Drosophila melanogaster: one gene and its partners. The protein of the gene in region 2 purifies or fractionates together with the protein of the main gene of each other region. This does not show direct contact. Each region holds a gene or a part of one and is shown on either strand. Other genes may lie near its edges.

Region 1 (4,501 bases), on a different chromosome or scaffold from region 2:
AAATGGGTCATACACCCAACGGCAGCCCACGAAGAATCTCCGCTGGCTATCGTCGTTCACGTCCGGCAGCGACCGGAAGCAGTGCACCCACAATCCCAGGCGATCCAGCTTGGCGCCCGTGATGCGGTAATCACTGACCAACCAACTGGGCGTTGCAAACGCAATCACGATGAAGGCAAAGGCGAACACGAAGACGCCAACGCCACAACTTCCGGATAGTGTGCGTCTCTTCATGTTCACTGTGTGACTGTTTTGCGTGTGGCTGGTGGGCAGGTGCTCCTGGGAATCCTCGCGTGCGAAGTGGGATGGTTTTTGCATCCTTTGAGTGGGAAATTCTATTGGAATTTCGCTGGTTTCCTGGGGAAATGTTTGTTTGGTTTGCTGTTTGGGTGTGGACTGCAGTGTGGCCGCACTGGTAATACCGCAGAATACCATGGGGCCACAAAATAAATACCAAATGCTACGGTACCAATAAATTTCAAAACAGTAAATTAAACAATTTAGATTATACATTTTTTAAATTAAGAAATAAATGATTTTAAATTTAATTAATTTTTGATAGATGGCTAAGGTACTTCTTAAATCAAATAAAAAGCTTTTTATATAGAATATAACATATTTTGGTTATATTGTCGATAAAAACTTATACTTAAAAGGCCCAACCGTTGTAAATGCTAATGAGCGTCGTTTCATTCTGGAAGACATGCTCTCCTCAATCGTTCCCCTAATTAAGGGCTGCCACAGCCTTGTGGGCGGCATCATCCAAGTCACTGGCTGTCTGAATGGGCAGGCCCGAATTCTTCAGGATCTCGCGAGCCTGATTTACATTGGTGCCCTCCAGTCGCACAACCAGTGGAACATTCAGTTGCAGCTTTTTGGATGCAGCCACAATGCCATTGGCAATGGTGGCACAATTGACAATGCCGCCAAAGACATTGACCAGGATTCCCTTGACTTTCGGGTCAGCAGTGAGGATCTCGAAGGCTTTGGCCACCTGATCCTCCCTGACGCCACCGCCGACGTCCAAAAAGTTGGCGGGCTCGCCTCCATTCAGCTTGATGATGTCCATGGTGGCCATGGCCAGGCCGGCACCATTAACCAAGCAGCCAATGTTGCCATCCATGGCGACGTAGTTCAGATTGTACTTGGCCGCCTCCACTTCTCGGGGATCGGATTCCTCCTCGGTGACGTCCATGGAGAAAATATCCTTCTGACGGAACTGGGCATTGTCGTCAAAGTTGAGCTTAGCATCAACGGAGATAACTTCTCCCTTATCCGTCTCCGCCAGCGGGTTGATCTCGATCTGTACGGCATCCACAGCTTTGAAGAGAGTATAGAGTTTTTGAATTTCCTCAGCACAACGCTTTACAGAGTCTCCCTTGAACTCCAAGAACTTGGCCACCTCCAAGAGCGTCGACTCCGGTATGGGCTTGCCAATGTCTAGCGGAACAGTCTTAATTTTCTCAGGGGTTTCCTCGGCCACCGCCTCGATATCCATGCCACCGGCAGGTGAGGCAATCAGCACGGGTCCATTGTGCTCGCGGTCCAGCAAGATGCAGAGATAGGTCTCGCGGGTGATGTTGATACTGCGTGCCACCATGACCTTGTTGACCAAAATTCCCGATTTGGGCGTTTGTTTCGTTATCAGTCGGTTTCCAATCATCTGCTGGGTAAGCGAAAGCACCTCGCTCTTGCTGGCAAAATGTTAAATAATTATTAGTATAAGCTGGTCTTATCACTTGTGTTTTTAAGGTACACTCTGGCTTTCACAAACTTTTATCATTTTCAATATGGGCAGAATGATAAGATTAATCTTATATACAAATGATATTGTAGAACATAAATAATATTAATTTTTTAGATAAAATGTGAATGTGAATAGCCGGAATAGACCTAATCTATAATACTTGGTGGTGATATGGACGCCGCCTTTGAATCCGTTGTCGAAAGTTCCCTTGCCACGCCCACCGGCGAGAATCTGCGCCTTCACCACGTATTCCGGGCACTCTGAAACACAGAAGCACAGCATTTAACACCAATTAGCCCAGGGATTACATAAACACCGGCATGGTTCCGTCCTCCACTTACCAAAAGTCTTGACGACCTCGGCATCTGCCTTGGAGTTATTCAAGACCTTGAATTGCTGTATGGCCACTCCATACTTCTGGAGGAGATCCTTGCTCTGGAACTCCAGCAGATTCAGGTTGCGCACGGGAACCTATCATCGAAAGATAAACAAAGCCAAGACAAAGGTCACTTCAACTTCTCTTTTCGAAGAGTTGATATATTATAGAGGAATGTGAGTGCGAGGAAACCTTATGAACGATGTGACGGGCTGTGGTAACTGCTTTCAGTAGGAACGACATCTTGGCTGATCTGCGGTGGTAACTGAATACCTTGGCTAACTTGGTATTAATTTATTTTCGTAACTTTGTCGGTAAATTTAGTTTAAAAACACAACCGAAAATCGCCGCCGTTCCACGATGCTTATCACTGCACAATGTGACCAAGAAGCACGACTACTTTCCATGGTGATAAAAATATACCAAATGCCACTGCCATCTTGAACTAGTTCTCGCGAAGCAATGGTCTTACTGTTGCAGTCAGCTGAAAATCAGCTGTCGTTGTGTACTTTTTTTCTTCGGCTAATAGTCAGCGAAGAATGACGAATAACACAAATTGAATGAAAAACCTGAGTGAGACGGAAGCCGAAGTCACCATGCAAGAAAATGTAGTCCACGAATCATTGCCCCAGATCCCGGTGGCCACTTCGGTGAGCTGTTGCTTCGTTCTGGCTGTTCTGTACGTGGGTAGCCTCTACATCTGGAGCACCAAACACAACCGGGATCATCCAACCACGGTCAAGAGAAGATTCGCCAGTGTGTCCATGGTGATGCTGGCAGCCCCGTTCTTCGTTTACTTCTTCTCATCGCCGGAGCTGCTCAGCCGGGTACCATTTCCCAAGCTGCTCGGTTTGCGCTTGGAGGGATTGTGGCAGGCTGTTGTTATACCATACAGCCTGACGGTGCTGCTCTTCCTGGGACCCATCTTTGTCAACATGCAGAACGAGTCCGTGCGCTCCTACTTCGGTAATAGTTAAAGCCCCTCTGCCTATCAGCCCCTTCTCACTGCTTGATTTGAATTGCAGATCTGGACTACTGGAGGGGATCATTTGGCAGCATCATCTGGGTGCGCAACCATGTGATAGCACCGCTGAGCGAGGAGTTCGTGTTCCGAGCCTGCATGATGCCCCTGATCCTGCAGAGCTTTTCGCCCCTGGTCGCCGTTTTCATAACGCCGCTTTTCTTCGGAGTAGCCCACTTGCATCACATAGCCGAACGCCTGAGCTTAGGCGTGGAGTTGAGCACTGCCCTATTGATTGGACTGTTCCAGTTCATCTACACCACGCTATTTGGCTTCTATTCGGCCTTTCTATTTGCCCGTACAGGTCATGTGATGGCTCCCATCTTGGTGCACGCGTTTTGCAATCATATGGGTCTGCCGGATCTGCAGGATCTGTGGCAGCAGGATCTCTGGCGACGAGTAGTGGCCATTATTCTCTACTTAGCTGGATTTGTTGGATGGATGTTCCTGGTACCACTGGCTACCGATCCGTCGATCTATGATAACACCCTTTACTGGAATGCATAATTAAGTTAATTTGTATGTATCAACCGCTGCCATACGTCGGTTCATTCATGTGTACATAAATATTCGTGCATATATTATGTTTATATGTAAATTGCATATCCCATTCGAGCCAATTCCGCGCACAAAAAAAAGACTTCCGATGAAAAAGAAAAAAGAAAGTACAGATAAATGTATACCTAATAGTAAGTCAGTTGTACTGTTTTGTTGTTCGAGAGTACTTTTATTACAACTACTTTTGTTTGCATTTGTTTATTAAACAATTTCTTAACATTTATAAATATTATTTATTATTATTATTAAGAAAGAAATATGAATTCAAATTTAGGCGGTATTATTGGTTCCGCGCAATCACTAGTTCCAACATATCGGTATTGGGCAGCTGGTCACACTGCCACTCAGACCCACATAGGCTTATCGATAGGGCCCGATAGGCCCAGACAAGTAAATTTTGGTAAATATGTGATGATTTAAAACGACGCACAACAAGCGAGCATCTAAACGACCCGAAAATCGAGAGGTCAGCGCCAGGAGGCCCAATCGGAGGTAATCCCGCAGAGCGGCGACCCGTGCTAGAACTGGGAAAACAGATCCGCGTTCTGGTGACGTTTGTGGTCTTTGCCCAGGACTACGAATGATAGTAATTATAGAACAATTAAGACTAACCTCAACCCCCCGGGGTCATCCTGGGACACTTGCAGGCCGCGCGGAAGACCACGTCAACGCACACGCAAATAGAACCCAAATCTTAAGCAGAAATAGCAACAACAACACAACCACCCACCCAACCGCACACAGAATGTATTGCCTACAATGCCTGCTGCCCGTACTACTGATACCGAAACCCTCGAAT
Region 2 (4,238 bases):
GAAAAACCGTGATCGCCAGCTAAGTGCTCTTATAATCCTATTAAAAATTATATTACATATTCTATACCTATTTTTATGATTTTTCTTAATTGAAATAGATACTTGCTTAAAAGACTGAGATATTGAGCACAGTTTCCATTATTACTACATATCTTCTTTAATTAATAGTAATTAACTAGCAAATTATTTTTTTCTTCCGAAAATTCAGAATTCCTGAAACTATAAACCGCAAGGAAAAAACTAGAAGAATATCTACTGATAGCCCGCGAAATTCAATTCATGTGCAAGATCTCGGGTTACCAGAAAAAAAAAACAACACACAACTAGAAGTGAGAAAATTACTTACATTTTTCCGAAGTCGAGAGTTATTTTGCTAGCTGGCTAACCAGAGAGGCACCTTTGCCCGGAATCGGAAATGAATATGAGCAGAGTGTAGTTTCTAGGGAAACCTAGAGAGTTGACTTGTTTCTCTCCTTGGCTGAACGTTTCGGGTTTCCAGGAAAATGTATAGACTTGCTAACAACTTCCCAAATGTGGGTCACTGTGGTGGCAATTGCAAATCGAAGCCGAAGTTTATTGTTTTCTGCTTTATAAAAATAAACACGCTGTGTAAAAAATAAAATAAATAGCGAGTACAACGATGCATTAAGTGGGCGCCACACGGACTCAGAGCCAAGGCATAGATCAATTCTGTATAGCTATTTACATAGAAGTGCCTTAGTCGGTTCGGTGCTAAACTAATATCGCTTAGTTCGATTTAAGCTAATTTCATATAAACTGGTAGTAAGAATCGATGTCAAGCAAATGCAGGTACCTCAATTCGGCTACCGTTCTAACTTCCGAACTTCAGGGGTCGTAGTTCGAAGTACTTGTCCAGCACTTCGTCCGTAATCAGCTTGCGGGCGGCCTGATGCTGTTCCACAATGGGTGTGAGCGTCTAAGAAGATCATTTGAGCACATTAATTACAATGTTTTTTGGGAAGATTGTAGCATCATCATTGCACTTACCTCAACTGCCAGCTTCTTGATCTCGCCCGTAAGCATTTCGCCTTTGCTGTAAGCCACTCTCACCTCCTCCAACTTGGCATCGTCCTCCAGGAAGAACTTCAACAGCTGATAGGAGACATCAACTTCCGGAACTCCGCCCAGCTTGCGGTGCTCCTCCACAGATACGCGTCCTCCGGAGAAGGCGTACTTGTTGATCTTGTTCTTAATCTGCTTGGGCGTGTCCGTCAGATAAACAGCCGAGTTCTGGTCGCTAGCCGACATCTTCGTCTTGGCACCCTGCAGCGCCGGGAAGAAGGTCGAATGGATGAGCGCGCATTTGGGAAAACCAAGACGTGGAGCCACATCGCGAGTCATGCGGAAATATGGGTCCTGATCGATGGCGCACGGGATGAGGCAGTGCACCTTCCTGTTGCCGAAGATGAAGGGGAAGGTGCTGGAAATCGCGGGAGCTGCTTGAGCGGCTGGGAAACCAATCTTGCCAATGATGTCTGAGTCCCCGAAGCCAAAGATGCCCTTGACCTGATTGAAGGTAACGCACTTCTGGATGCGAATGATGTTCTGATACATGGCAGGACATTTTCTGTAAGTAATATAGATAATACAGATTATACAGGTTAAAAGTTTTTTAATTTACTTACCCCACGAATTCCAGGTTATTAAAAATGAACGTCTTGTTGACATCGAATCCAATGGCCACAATATCCTTGGCGTTTTCACGTCCAAGCTTGATGGCATCCTCCACTTTCAGATCCTTCCACAAGGTCTTCTCGTCGTCGGTCAATTGAATAACCAGCGGCACATCAAAGGTCTCCTGCAGCCACTTGGTCATGATGAAGGGCACCAGGTGGCCCACGTGCAGGGATCCGGAACTGGGACCGCGACCAGTGTACAAATAGAAGGGTTTGCCCTGTTCGCGCAGTGTTAGAATCGTATGAAGATCCCGGTGCGAGAAGAACATGCCCCTTCGGATGAAGTGGTGGGCGGGCTTTCCCGTGATTTTCTCGAAACGCGCGATAAGCTCCTCATCGATTTTGCTGGAGCCAAACCGTTCTGCAACGTGTCAACATGTCGTTTGATTAACTTGATTAATAATTTGCCTTGCAAATGTCTTCTTACTTATCAGCTTATCATAGTCGACGCCCGCGTCATTACTACTGGCCACATTCCATGGATCCACAACATCTTCAGTGGGTGCAGTGGCTCCCTCCTGTGCCTGGGCATCCGTGCCCGTTTCCACGGGTTCTGCGTCCGGTTTTCCATTTAGTGTCAACGCCTCCACGCCCTCCACAACCGTCTCCTTGGTGTCCGCCATTCTGTCAGTCTGATTGTTAAGAATTTAACAGATAATTTAATACTGGCCAGTGTAATTGGGCCCTTCACATGTGAAATGAGGCGCTTATTAGTGTCCCAACCATCGATTACACCATCGATTATTTCATCTGCTCTCCTGTTAATGGTAATTGTTATGCTCAATTTCAACTGTTAAAAATATCGATAATGAGAAATATCGATGGATTGCAAATTTGCTATTGAGTGACAACTCTGGAAAATCAGCTGTTGCGCTGCAAACTGTGGGTGAAAAATGCAAGCGGATAAGACTAATGTTTTTCGATTAAAATAAGGAACTAATAACTCAGACAACATGCCTATCATGTACAACACGGGGGAGTGGTTCAAGGTGCGACCGGACTACTACAGGTGGGTAATCCTAATCCATCCGTTCTATACAAACCAACTGAAGGATACGCCCATTAATCCCATTCACAGAAAAGTGGAACTGGCTACGCCTGATTGGCCTCTGGACCTGGACTTGGAGTATATGTGGGTGGAAGTGGCTCCCTATGGAGGACCACTGGCGGTCACTCGTGATCCGACCAAATTGGTGCCGGTAAAGGGTAACGCTAGACCCATGATTCGCATCTTTGATACCACCGGCAGGGAAATGGGTCACATATTGGTGAGTTAATCGAAAGTAAGAAATATTATCTCAAATATTGAAATCACCGTAGTGGAACCATGGCAAACTTATTGCCATGGGCTGGTCAGACATGGAGGAGCTTATCTGCATCCAGGAGAACGCCACCGTCTTTGTCTACGACATGTTTGGTCGGGAAAAGGAGTCCTACAGCATCGGCGATGAGGCCAGTGTCACAAAGATTGTGGAGGGCAAGGTGTTCCAGTCCTCAGCTGGCACAGGAGTGGCTGTAATGACCACATCCGGTCGGGTTTTCCTCAAGCAGAACAGCAGCAAGACTGAAAGAAAGCTGCCGGATATTCCCAGTAAGAAAACCATTGAAATACCAAAAGAATATTATGTCATTGCTCAACAGATTCCAGCATGAACTGTTCCTGCTGGGAGATCGTAACCGAGGGACGCAACAGCTACTGTCTGCTGGGAAGGGATCGAGAGGTCATAAAGCTGTTTCCAGGCGAAACTGTGGGAACTATTACCGCCAATCTCTTTGAGAAACCGCACGAGCGAATCATAAAGATATCTGTGTCGTACAACCATCAGCACTTGGCACTGTACACCAACACCGGTCTTCTTTGGCTGGGCAGCGTAGATATGCGGCAAAAGTATTGTGAATTCGACACCGGACGTAAAGATATGCCCCTCCAAATGGAGTGGATCATGAACTCTGACAACAGCGAGGCGGATGCGGTGGTCATTTCATATCCATCGTACCTCTTAATTGTAAATCGTAACGCTGATCGCAGTGACTTTCCCTACGATCCGGTGATGTTTCTTGTGGCTGAAATGGATGGCGTTCGCATTATTACTCAGAGTTCGCATGAAATAATACAGCGCCTGCCAAAATGCGTTGAGAACATATTTGCAGTGAATAGCCAGGAACCGGCTAGCTATCTCTTTGAGGCACAGAAAAAGTTTGAGGAGAAGTCCTACAAGTCGGATGAGTATCTCAGCATGTGTCGGGAAAAGATCGATCTGGCAGTGTCCGAATGTATTGAGGCGGCTTCATATGAGTTTTGTCCGGAAACTCAAAAGAGCTTGCTTAGGGTAAGATAGTCATGGACTTCTTATATTTATAAATTATAACCACTCGATTTCTTTTTAGACGGCCTATTTTGGAAAAGGCTTTATTCGTAACCACAATCCAGATGAATATATGCGTATTATGCGAATACTGAGGGTTCTTAACACCTTGCGGCATGAGCGAATTGCCATGCCCATCACCTTCAAACAGTAATCATCTTTTTAACTTTTATTA
Region 3 (5,204 bases), on a different chromosome or scaffold from region 2:
TTGATTGGTTTGACCAGCTTTATCCGGAGCGGAGTTTTGATTTCATTTCGTTTCGAATCGTCTCGTCTCGTTTCGTGTTGATTCGTTTCCGAGGAAAGGAAATCAAAACAAGCGACTCTGATTACTGATTACACGCTCCTTCGATTCAGCTTGATGTGTTGTTGTTATTGTTGTTGCTGTCGCTGCTGCTGCGCAGTTGGGATTGGGCTGGCCCTGATAACACGTCACGTCATGAATCCGATTCATTACATTTCACGCCCGGCTATACACTATCTTTACTGTTATGTTTATGAATTTTGCCCTTTGCTTTGCTTCTTCGCCCTGCGCGAAGTGTTGTATCTCTTTCTGTCATTCCCATCTCGCCGATTAGCCGAAGGGCGCGCCTATCGATGACCAATCGATAGCTATTGCCGTTATCGACACATCCAATTCAAATTCAAATTGGATCCGAAAAACATGAAAAATCATAGGGAAAAAGAAAAATCGCTAGCAAGAACAAATAAGAAGTTAAATACAAAATAAAGGACTGCAAATAAAAGGCGTTATTTATCATTGGAAACTAGATATATACATATATCTAGTAACACATTTTTTATTGTTTACATGACATGGCTGTTTGCGAATCTTCAATGCTAATTAATGACAAAAACTAACTAAACTTAGTTTATTTCGGAAAAATGTTTTTTTTTTTGGTATTTCAAGCTATCTGTTTGTGGATTCGTATGACACGCGGTAATTACGTAAGCTATTTGACTAGCCGGATTTTCCCCACAACCCAACTGACCCACTCATCATCCCAACCGATTCCCATTAAATGCCTCCTCCGCCGTATTCATCCTCAATAATCTACTGTTCCTTGGCCAGGCGGCGCAGGGCACGTTTCCGGGTGCCCAGGATGTTCTTCATAACGATGTTGCGTGCGAACTGTTCGCCGAACACCGCCTCCGTGAAGTGGATGACCAGCTGGAGTAGAGCATGCGGCAGATAGCCCGCCGTCTGGGTGGCAATGCCCAGGGTGGACAGCGCCGAGCGGACATACGTTTCCGGCGAGGGAGCAAACACGCTAGCCTTTCGGATCTTAGACATATTTGTGGCCACAAAGCCCGGCTGGACGCTCTGGATGAGGATGCCGTGCTCCTTGTACTCCGTCTGCAGGTCATCACTGAATTTGTTCACAAAGGCCTGCAAATTATAGGTATTAGTAATTAGCCTTCTATCACTTCTGATGATATCCACTCACCTTGGTGGAACTGTACACGCTCAGCAGCGGATTAGGAATGACTCCGGCGGTGGACGATACATTTATGATCACACCACGTCGCTGGCTAATCATGCCGGGTAGAAAAAGTGCGGTCATGTGCGTCACCGAGTGGATATTGGCAGCCACAATGTTGCGCAGGAATGGGGGATCGGCTTTGTAGCAGTCCAGAAAGTACTCGGGATGGCCGTAGCTGATGCCCACGTTGTTGACCAGCACTCCGACATTGAGGCCAGTGGTCTTTTCGCGGATCTTATCGTAGATCTCGTCACCGCCGGTGAAGTCCACATCGATCACACGCACCTCCACACCGTATTTATCGCCTGAAAGTAGACCGCAAAGAGCAGTTGTTAGTTGAAGTTGTTAACTGTATTTTAGTGAGCAGACTTACCTATCTCCTTGGCCACCACATTCAGTTTCTCCAGGGATCTACTAATCAGCACCAGTTTCAAGCCCCTGCGAGCCAACTGAAAGTGATTAAATATTTATTAGCCTGCTCATATTTACGTACTTTTGGATAGTAAATTCTTAGGTCAGAGATAAAAAGCAATGGTGCTTTGGAATGGGAACACTGAACGTTTCTACCTAAAGCAGGAGTTTCAAAGACGAGTAACCCGTAGATTTTAAGAACAGGAAGTCATTTAAGTGTACTAAGCGTGTATATGAATAGAAATTGGGTGTGAACATTGAACCATTTTCTGTGCGTTCGACGCACGCCGAATGCTAATTTGGCACAAGCTTCGATCGGGGCCCTGTGCTCCACTCTATAAAGTAATTGCCATTCAGGGGACACGTGTTCCCTATAGCTTCTAGCTTCGTTTGCTCCAAGTCTGTGTATTACAAAATAAAACTGGCAAAAAAAAAAAAAAATTACCACAAAAGGTAGAAAAATCAACTGCGATTGCACTTTGTAAAAATAAATAACGAAAAGTACAAATGTAGCGATTTGCAGTCAAGCAAACACTATTAGGGACTGTTTGCGACTGGACTGTTGACTGAAGATCGATTTCAAAGTGCAGATTCACTTGGCTAATGCATTGGCGACCGCTAAACCAATGTCCAAGTCATCGTGGGCGACACTCAATTCGGTAATTAGTAATTACTAATTGCTCATTATTACTATCGTTTTTTGTTTGTTTGTTTGCTTGACCCGTTTCCCATTTTACTATAATCATCGGTCGAGCTTGGACGGACTTTGCTTGCGCTGGTCAAGATTGGGGCAGCCCTTCCATGTCATCTTTGTGTACATACCTCCTTGGCGTAGGCCTTGCCAATTCCATCGGTCGACCCGGTGACAACTGAAAGTCGAAAAAGTTAGCCAATAGTTCTGTGGGTTATCAGTGGATTTATGGGGCGTGGGGAACGATCTTATCGGTCACAGTGAAAAAAGTACTGAACTCCATTTTGGAAAGATATATAGTGTATTCCTTTAGGCAGTTAATGCAAAATTGGAAAACTTGAAAGTAGAGTGTTTGCAATTTGGAAATTCCCTTTCTTCACAATTTAATTGTAAAAGGGTCTTTAATCTTTTTAACTACACTTCTTTAGCAAACTTGCTATTCATTTTTTCACTGTGCACTCGGAATCGACCCCGTTTCCGCTCCTTTCCGGCATGTTTTTCCATGGCAACCGACTCACCTGCCCACTCGCCCATTTTGGAGAGATCCACCGAGGAGCCAAAGACCTTGGGGCCAACAACATTGGCGTAAATCCAGGGCAGGACCTTCCGGAAGACCTGGAAGCCCACGATTCCGATGGCCAGACCGCCCAGCAGGCTCAGCACTTGCGAGTTGTTCTCCTCCATGATGTTGATGATGGAGATTAGTGGTTCCTGGTTCCTGGTACTCCTAGGCAATGGTACCTATTGTATGTACTATATGGTGCGATTGCGATCGGTCGACTGCTATAGCCTCTGCCGGCTGATTAGTTTCTGATTCTACGATTTTCGAGCTGCAATGCCGAAATGGAAATGCTGACGCCGCTGCTTTTTTTTCGCCTCTGCCGACTGCGCTGCCTTTTCGAACTGTATTTGTGGTGTGTTGTAGTAATTCTACACACACACACACCCTTCGAAATCGCCACTGATTTTCGATTACTCGATTTATGTACGCGTGTTTTTTGCCTGATTTGTATTCCAAATGCGTTTTCTTTGAAAGGAGAAACTTAGGGTAGAAGGGGGAAAATAAAAACAAATGGAAAAAGCGATTGAATGTCAATTGTCAACGGCACAAAAGCAAATGAACGGTTCTTTTTCGTATCCATGTGCCCCCCTCAGAGGGGTGTGTGTCTGTGTTGTGTGCCCACTTATGTCATTTCATAGCGCTCACGCACACCACCAAAAAGCGAAAGATAAGGGCGGCTGCAAACAGTGAGCGCAAAAATTTATCACACCAAGAACCGTTATGTTGCACTAGCTGATTTTAAAAGAGGGATGAAATGTAAATTCAGCAATAGTTTTCCGCCTAAGGGTTCACAGGTTCATTACCGTATATCCTTCTTTTACTAGTCTATTAATTAGTTTATTTAAAAGCGAAAAAAGCATGCATATGTATATCATAGGAGGGCAGTGTAAGTTCTATGCTCTCACCAATACACGCCAGAATGGGGCAATCACCGAAATAGTCTGACTAATTTCCTGCACATGCGCAGGAAGCAGAAAGTGCGATAAACAATTTAACGCAGCGAATGCTACAATTAAAGTCGTTAAATATTTTTGATGTTTCTGAGTAAAGCCCGCTATATTAACGGTAAATTATTGATGGAGCGAGATGGCTATAGCGGATCGCGTATGTGCGAGGGTAATCCTTTGCCTATCGATAAATATCGGTTACTTATCGAATTTCGAATTTGAAGCTTAATTTGACAGTAAAAGAATGGTAGTTTATCTGTATTTTTACTCTAGGCTCTTAACAATTAGTAAAATACAGGTATTTCTGAGCTCAATCGCCCGATTTATTTGCATGCCGAGCTATACGGATTCAAAGGACCTTGTTTGGTGGGTAGAAATCCCTGGATTGCAAGAATGCCGAGAGAGATGCTGGCCTTTCGGAGCGGATTCAGTGCCGAAGCAAGTGTGGGTGAGGGAACAACAACGCCGAAGGACCGGCAAAAGCAACTTTTATATTGTTAAATATTTATCAGAACCATCCGCCGAAAAGAGCTTTTTTCCTGGACAAATGCAAACAAAAGAAGAAAAGAAAAGTCTTTTTCTTTTTAAAACAATCTTGAAGATTGCATTATTTTGAGCTTGAGAGGTGAGTGGCGTCTGCTATTTGTTGTTGTTGCTCGGGTAGAGGGATTCCTTCGGATGAAATAATAGGGATGCGGATGCTGGCCATGCGCAGAGCATGCCCTGACCTACATTCCCGTTTATTGGCCATCCGAGCAGCAGTTGCAAAAGGATAAATACACACGCAACACGAGCTGGTTAATAAGCGCTTTTCCGATTTTCCAATTGTCCGACATTCCTATCCCTCCAGCCTCCATCCGCGCGCTGAAAAGTGTGCAAAGAAATCAACAAAAAAGAGAAAAAGAAAAAGTAAATATACATATATAATCGAAAAGGACACTCTGAAAAAGAAGATACTTGAGTGCAATATGTCCAGCAATATTTTGCCGCAGGGCAATCGATAAGCGAAGCGAAGTGAAGTCCGTGGAATCATCGCTGGCGATGCAGTGGGACGCTGATGCAGTTGGACTTGGATCGATATAGAACAGTTTAGAGGGGCGTTCGTTCATATGTGCATATCCTGCGGCGAGTGGCGCCAGTCGATGCATCATCCCGCATCCTGTTACCGTATCCCGTAAGTCGGCATATGAAGACACTCCGCTGCAGTGATGAGATCGAGGCTGTTTTGGATACTGGCGATTATATACTCCTCACTCCATCACATCGGCTCGGGTTCCACGTCGACCACATGTGAGTCTCCACCTCATGCCTTAATCA
Region 4 (5,217 bases), on a different chromosome or scaffold from region 2:
AAGTTGCCAAAAAGGCCGACTGCCGACGGAGAGCGCGTGCTCTTCCAAAGAACTTAGTCATAGACGATTCCTTTTGCACGCAGGCCTTCACCGAGATGCAGATCAATAAGCTGGAGACGACCAAGAAGATCCACATGATCGACATGAAGTGCGACATGGTCAAGACAGGCAAACAAAAGTACCAGCTGACAGAAAAGGGCACCAGCAGCTTGGCCGACGACACAAGGTACATAACTAGAATCACAATTAATCATCTCCAGGTGTTCAGGTGGCTAATTGAACTGTTTCCCTATAGAGTTTACCAGTCCGTGGGTCGCATGTTCCTGCTTACCGATGTACAGAATATGCGCGAGGACCTGAAGGCTAGGCAGGAGAAATGCGACAAAGCGATAGAACTGCTGGAGAAGAAGAAGGAGTTCTTGCAGAAGTCCCTTAAGAGCCAGGAAGACGGTCTGCGCGAGTTGGTGCAGCAGCGCAAGGAAGCCGATCAGACTGCGAAATAGACTACAACTCCAAACTGGCATTTATCCCTCAACGCAATTGCTTATTTATTTTCAATATACTCGTCTAAATTGAAGTTGGCGTAGCTGACAAACTTGTTGCCCAGATTGCGTTCGTGTTCCGGGCGGAAGCTGCACTTGAGGACGGGCAGGCGAGCGGTTAGCCAGGGCTCCACCACCTCACCGGAGCACAGGATTACCTTGCTCTCCTTCTGGTTTCGTTGCAGCCTAGTGATTATTTCACACGTTTTGGCGATGCACTCCTGGGACAGGAAGGGCGGGTCGGCCACGATGAGGTCATATTGCTGGTGGTGCTCTTTGAGGTAGTCCGGGTTGCTCCCTACGCAGTTCAAGTCGTAGTGCACAAAATCTGTGCCATAGGCCTCGAAACGCTTGTCGAACTCGAATATGTGCACTACAAGATAGAATGATGACAATTCATTCATAATCGTTTCACATGTCCACTTACCTGTGTCATGTATCTCCCTGATGTCCTTGTAGAGCGATGGGCAGGAGAGCAGTGCTATACTAAAGTCACCCGAATCCTCCGTGCGCTCCGCCAGAAGCTTACGCACAACATCACGCAATGCGTGCTTGGTTTCCGTGCTGTACCAGAACTGACTCAATTGCTGCAAGCGAAGAGAGTTTCACCATAAGTTTCTAAGGTATGTGCAGGTGCTCTTGCCCAATCCTCCTCGAACTGGGCATCCTTGCCGGTCTTGTTGGCGATTTGATTCTCCTCCTCGGCTTCGCGTTTTGATCTCTCCAACAGAAATTCGTTTAAAATGGCCAAAGTGTCGGCGGGCAGCGAGATGTCGTCGTCCATAATTAATTATTTGCCACTAAATGAATCTTAGAGCATTCAAATCAAAATAAACCAAAATGTGCGTTTGAAGATTAGAGGTGCGAAATTAGCGATACAAATGAGAACTTATTGGGGGGATTCCAGGCCTTGGCGCTGTTTTCAAATTGTAAATTATTAGAAACTTAGGCCAACTGCGATATTGAAATTATACTTTCAAAATAATATGCACTTTAACCGTATGCAAATCGATTACCAATTTTAATTTATTTTAAGTTATTTTATTAATACAACTAGCTCCAGAAACCTGTATCGTAACTTTTATTTGACAACACATTTTCAAACTGTACTGAATATTTAGGCGTTTAATCGACAACTAAAACAGCAACTTTCAAGTACGTGGTCTTTAAATTTCGTAAGATCGAGAAAGCAGTGCGATACAAATCGGTGGCAGCCCTGTGTCAGTTCGTTTTTATCGAACTAGATCAACTTTGCCCGTCCATCTCTAGTTCGCACGGGAGCCCCGACCAAACTGATACGTATTAATTTACGAGAAAAACTTGCGTTTAATTCGAAGTCACATCATATCGCAGGCTGGAACGTACCTGCTGCTAAGTAAGAGGTAAGTGAATGGCCAACGTGAATTAGGAAAAATCAGTGCCTTGCCGGAAACGAAATCCATGTGATTAAAGGCTAACTTTCTTCGCTTGACGTCGTTCCCAAATCGGATAAAAGTGTGCTGCTGGCCCAGTAATTACACTGGTGAATTATGCAGGTCGGCATTTGGACTCGCTCCGCGACTTCCGTGCGGGGGAGGAAGCATCCAATCCCCAAGCGCAACCGTTTCGAATTTCTACAGCGCGGCGCGAAGAGCCCTGCACTTTGATTTCGTTGCCGTTCATTGTGGAGTTCAGTCGGGTCAATCAGCCTCAATTTGCGAGACTTACCTTCTGAATCTCTGACGTGTACCTACCAACCAAACTGTCCACTATGTGACATCATATAATTGGGCTTCCGACTCCGGACTATTGCATGAATAATGTGCGCGCGGGTTGACAGGTGCTACCTTAAATTGACTAGGTGACCCACTTCCGTTGAAGGACCCTCCGTCCACAGATCCCAATCGATACGGCTGCCCCACTGCCAGTCTCATTACTCGACATGTAAATCGAAAGTACACGTAGGATGGACCCCCTCGGTTGGGTTTACTTAATCGCTCAGACCAGCCCACTCCCCCTCCCATGTTTCACCTGTTGCCACCTGTTTGTGTTTCAATATTTTGACGTGTATTTCGTAACAACATGCACATTGTGCGCTGTCTTGCAGTTTTCTCTTCGAGCTTCGTAACGAAATCTTTGCGTTTAGTGCGCTAGGCATCATAAACCGCATACTCGAGAAATATAATTGCCAAACCGTAAGAGTACATGATACTTTAGCGATGGCTTGGCTGTTTTCTTTTTTTGGTTGCCTCATGCAAAGCACTGTCCGTAATGGTGGGCAAGTCATCTTGGCTAAAGCGAACATTAACACGACTTTTGGGCCAGCCCGTTCTCGTTTTAAGTGCGTTTGCCAGCCACTTTCCATTTGACTGGTTTAACAGTTGGCCCTGACTTTCAATTAAGACGTAAAGCGCTTGGCACTGAGAAGCGTAGTGCAGTCTAATCCTGGAGTCATAGAGGGCAGATCTTGCGGGCTATTCATTAGGTTGGAACCCTCACACATCAGATAGCGCCGCAGTTACTTAGCCAAGGTTCTCTTATCGCTGCCTATGCCTAAGATAGCAGCCAAATTCCCGCCGATAAGGCCGAAAGTAGAAACCTTATACTGATTTTCATAACTGCCTTGCAGACTGAATACTGAACGGAAAGCGAGCACGAAAGCTACTTCATCATGAGCGCACCCACCGACCAACCACCGCGCTCCGAGGGCGCTCAGACCAACAGCTCCGAGAGATCCTCACAGCAGCAGGAGCAACCGCAGCAATCTCAATCACAGAACGTACCGGCCAAGCTCCTGCAGCATTTTCAGACAAATCGCATAGATTCCGCGCTATGGGCACTACGTCTGCTGGTCATCTTCTTCACCGTCAGCTACGTGCTGCCCATCTTTACGTGAGTACACGCGTTTTCCACATTGACCTACTCTAATTTTCACTTACTTCTCCACAGCTCACAACAGAGCGCATTCAGCAAGGTTATGCTGGCTAATGCCGCCATCTCTGCCTTGCGTTTGCACCAGAGATTGCCCGCGTTCGCGTTCAGTCGGGAGTTCCTTGCTCGACTGTTTGCCGAGGACTCGTGTCATTACATGATGTACTCCCTGATCTTCTTCAACATCCGCCCATCGCTGCTGGTTCTGATTCCCGTGCTGCTGTACTCAGTTCTGCACGCCTCAAGCTACTCGCTTAAGCTGCTGGATGTAAGGAAAGCAATATTTCACATTTGGCACTTGTCTAATAAGAAATGTACTTACAGCTGATTGGCCAGAACTCGTGGTGGGGTGCCCGTTTCATCATCTCCATTGTAGAGTTTCAGGCGGCGAATATCCTGAAGGCAACTGCATTCTGCGAGATCTTCATCATGCCTTACGCCATTGTGCTGGCCTTCATGTGAGTTTTAACACATATCTTTCGAGGGGAATGCACTCCAATGCAGAATACTTTCAATTTTAGGAACCACGCTGGATTGATGACGCCCGTTATTTACTACCACTATCTGGTGATGCGCTACAGCTCGCGACGAAATCCCTATCCGCGCAACGCTTTCGCTGAGCTGCGTATAACCTTCGAGGCGCTGGCCGCCCGCTCACCGCCCGCCTTTGCCAAGATCATCCGTGGAGGCATTGGGTTCGTCAACCGCTTGGCGCCGCAGCTACAGCCGGCTGCAGCGCAAGAGTAGACACGACAAGCAGCTAACGGAAAACAACAATCAAATGACATATGAATAAGGCTATTTAAATACCAGTTCACTTGCATAGATGTTCACACAGGAGATTGGGGTTCATCCGTTTTATTTGTTAGCCGAAATTCGTTGCACCTTTTCGAAGCGAAACTAGTTGTTTTACACCAGATTGTTTCGGCATTTAAGTTTAAATTTATCTATATATTATTGTAGTTTTTTTTGAGTACATCATCATGCTTTTTTCAACAACACACAATGTGGCAACGCACGAATTCCGCCATGGAGGATCAACGGCGCGTATTACTATATTTATATCCCAAAAACAAATTATTTCAATTTGTTTTGCTTTAACTTATATGTTCAAAATACTGATCAAACGAAAAACATGGACAGCTAACGCTGTTAGTAATTATTTACATATATTTTGTATGAGTGTGTAAAGATTCGAAGAACCAAACAAAGTAAAGTAAAGTTAAATAAAACATTTTGAGAAGGTACTAGAATTTGGACTACAATTTTTTCTGGTTGATTGGCTTTAAATCTTCTGCTACTGTATTAAGTGGTTTGCACTTAACTTGTTTCTTCTCAAGCCAATTAAAAAATGATATCAATCGTAATAATTTTCGTATCATCCTTAAAGTATGCAATACCTTAATTTCTCCACTTTTGGTCAGCGGGCTCAAACAGGTGAATGGAAGCGTTCCCCAACATACTCCAGATCAGGATCACTAGTCGATTTGGCCATGTTCCAGTCGGACACGAATAGTAGCAATCTAAGCACTTTTGTACAGCGCCGAAGCATCAACCCACAACGAAACTAATGAAATGATTTCTGGGTGTGAGGCTAGGGCGTTGGTAGCTTGTCGTTGGCTCTGGACTTCTTCCGAATTTCCACCAAGTTCAATGAACTTCTTGCGCAGCGCCAAAAAAAAAAAATGTTCGTCCAAATGAGGGTGAAGGCACCCGAGCTTTGTTGTGTTGTGTAGGTGAAACGACTCACTTTCGTTCTCAGTGC

The links.
Region 1: the proteins of TrpRS (region 2) and ScsbetaG purify together in Drosophila melanogaster (affinity purification with mass spectrometry, with the first as the bait; one large-scale study listed by BioGRID). This does not show direct contact.
Region 3: the proteins of TrpRS (region 2) and spidey purify together in Drosophila melanogaster (affinity purification with mass spectrometry, with the first as the bait; one large-scale study listed by BioGRID). This does not show direct contact.
Region 4: the proteins of TrpRS (region 2) and Kr-h2 purify together in Drosophila melanogaster (affinity purification with mass spectrometry, with the first as the bait; one large-scale study listed by BioGRID). This does not show direct contact.

The regions. Positions count from the first base shown.
Region 1 is NT_037436.4:5,561,178-5,565,678, forward strand, and holds ScsbetaG (Succinyl-coenzyme A synthetase beta subunit, GDP-forming), read right to left. Parts: upstream 2,515-4,501; 5' UTR 2,367-2,514; coding exon 2,316-2,366; intron 2,219-2,315; coding exon 2,089-2,218; intron 2,008-2,088; coding exon 1,908-2,007; intron 1,695-1,907; coding exon 725-1,694; 3' UTR 524-724; downstream 1-523. Other genes in the region: sinu (sinuous), read right to left, coding at 1-318; Sras (severas), read left to right, coding at 2,684-3,089, 3,149-3,651; bc10, read left to right, coding at 4,448-4,501.
Region 2 is NT_033777.3:9,264,472-9,268,709, forward strand, and holds TrpRS (Tryptophanyl-tRNA synthetase), read right to left. Parts: upstream 2,434-4,238; 5' UTR 2,321-2,433; coding exon 2,125-2,320; intron 2,059-2,124; coding exon 1,647-2,058; intron 1,589-1,646; coding exon 1,009-1,588; intron 938-1,008; coding exon 833-937; 3' UTR 556-832; downstream 1-555. Other genes in the region: Vps16A (vacuolar protein sorting 16A), read left to right, coding at 2,651-2,706, 2,776-2,965, 3,018-3,288, 3,339-4,027, 4,086-4,213.
Region 3 is NC_004354.4:7,907,230-7,912,433, reverse strand, and holds spidey (spidey), read right to left. Parts: upstream 3,504-5,204; 5' UTR 3,063-3,503; coding exon 2,897-3,062; intron 2,557-2,896; coding exon 2,510-2,556; intron 1,726-2,509; coding exon 1,650-1,725; intron 1,582-1,649; coding exon 1,241-1,581; intron 1,183-1,240; coding exon 847-1,182; 3' UTR 549-846; downstream 1-548. Other genes in the region: dpr14 (defective proboscis extension response 14), read left to right, coding at 5,096-5,177.
Region 4 is NT_033779.5:6,069,264-6,074,480, forward strand, and holds Kr-h2 (kruppel homolog 2), read left to right. Parts: upstream 1-1,726; 5' UTR 1,727-1,924; intron 1,925-2,949; exon of another isoform or gene 2,950-3,150; 5' UTR 3,151-3,192; coding exon 3,193-3,413; intron 3,414-3,470; coding exon 3,471-3,720; intron 3,721-3,776; coding exon 3,777-3,910; intron 3,911-3,973; coding exon 3,974-4,199; 3' UTR 4,200-4,698; downstream 4,699-5,217. Other genes in the region: Pfdn1 (prefoldin 1), read left to right, coding at 84-226, 296-503; CG9154 (uncharacterized protein), read right to left, coding at 545-915, 970-1,129, 1,186-1,326. UniProt on the Drosophila melanogaster protein: Member of the dosage-dependent hierarchy effective upon white gene expression.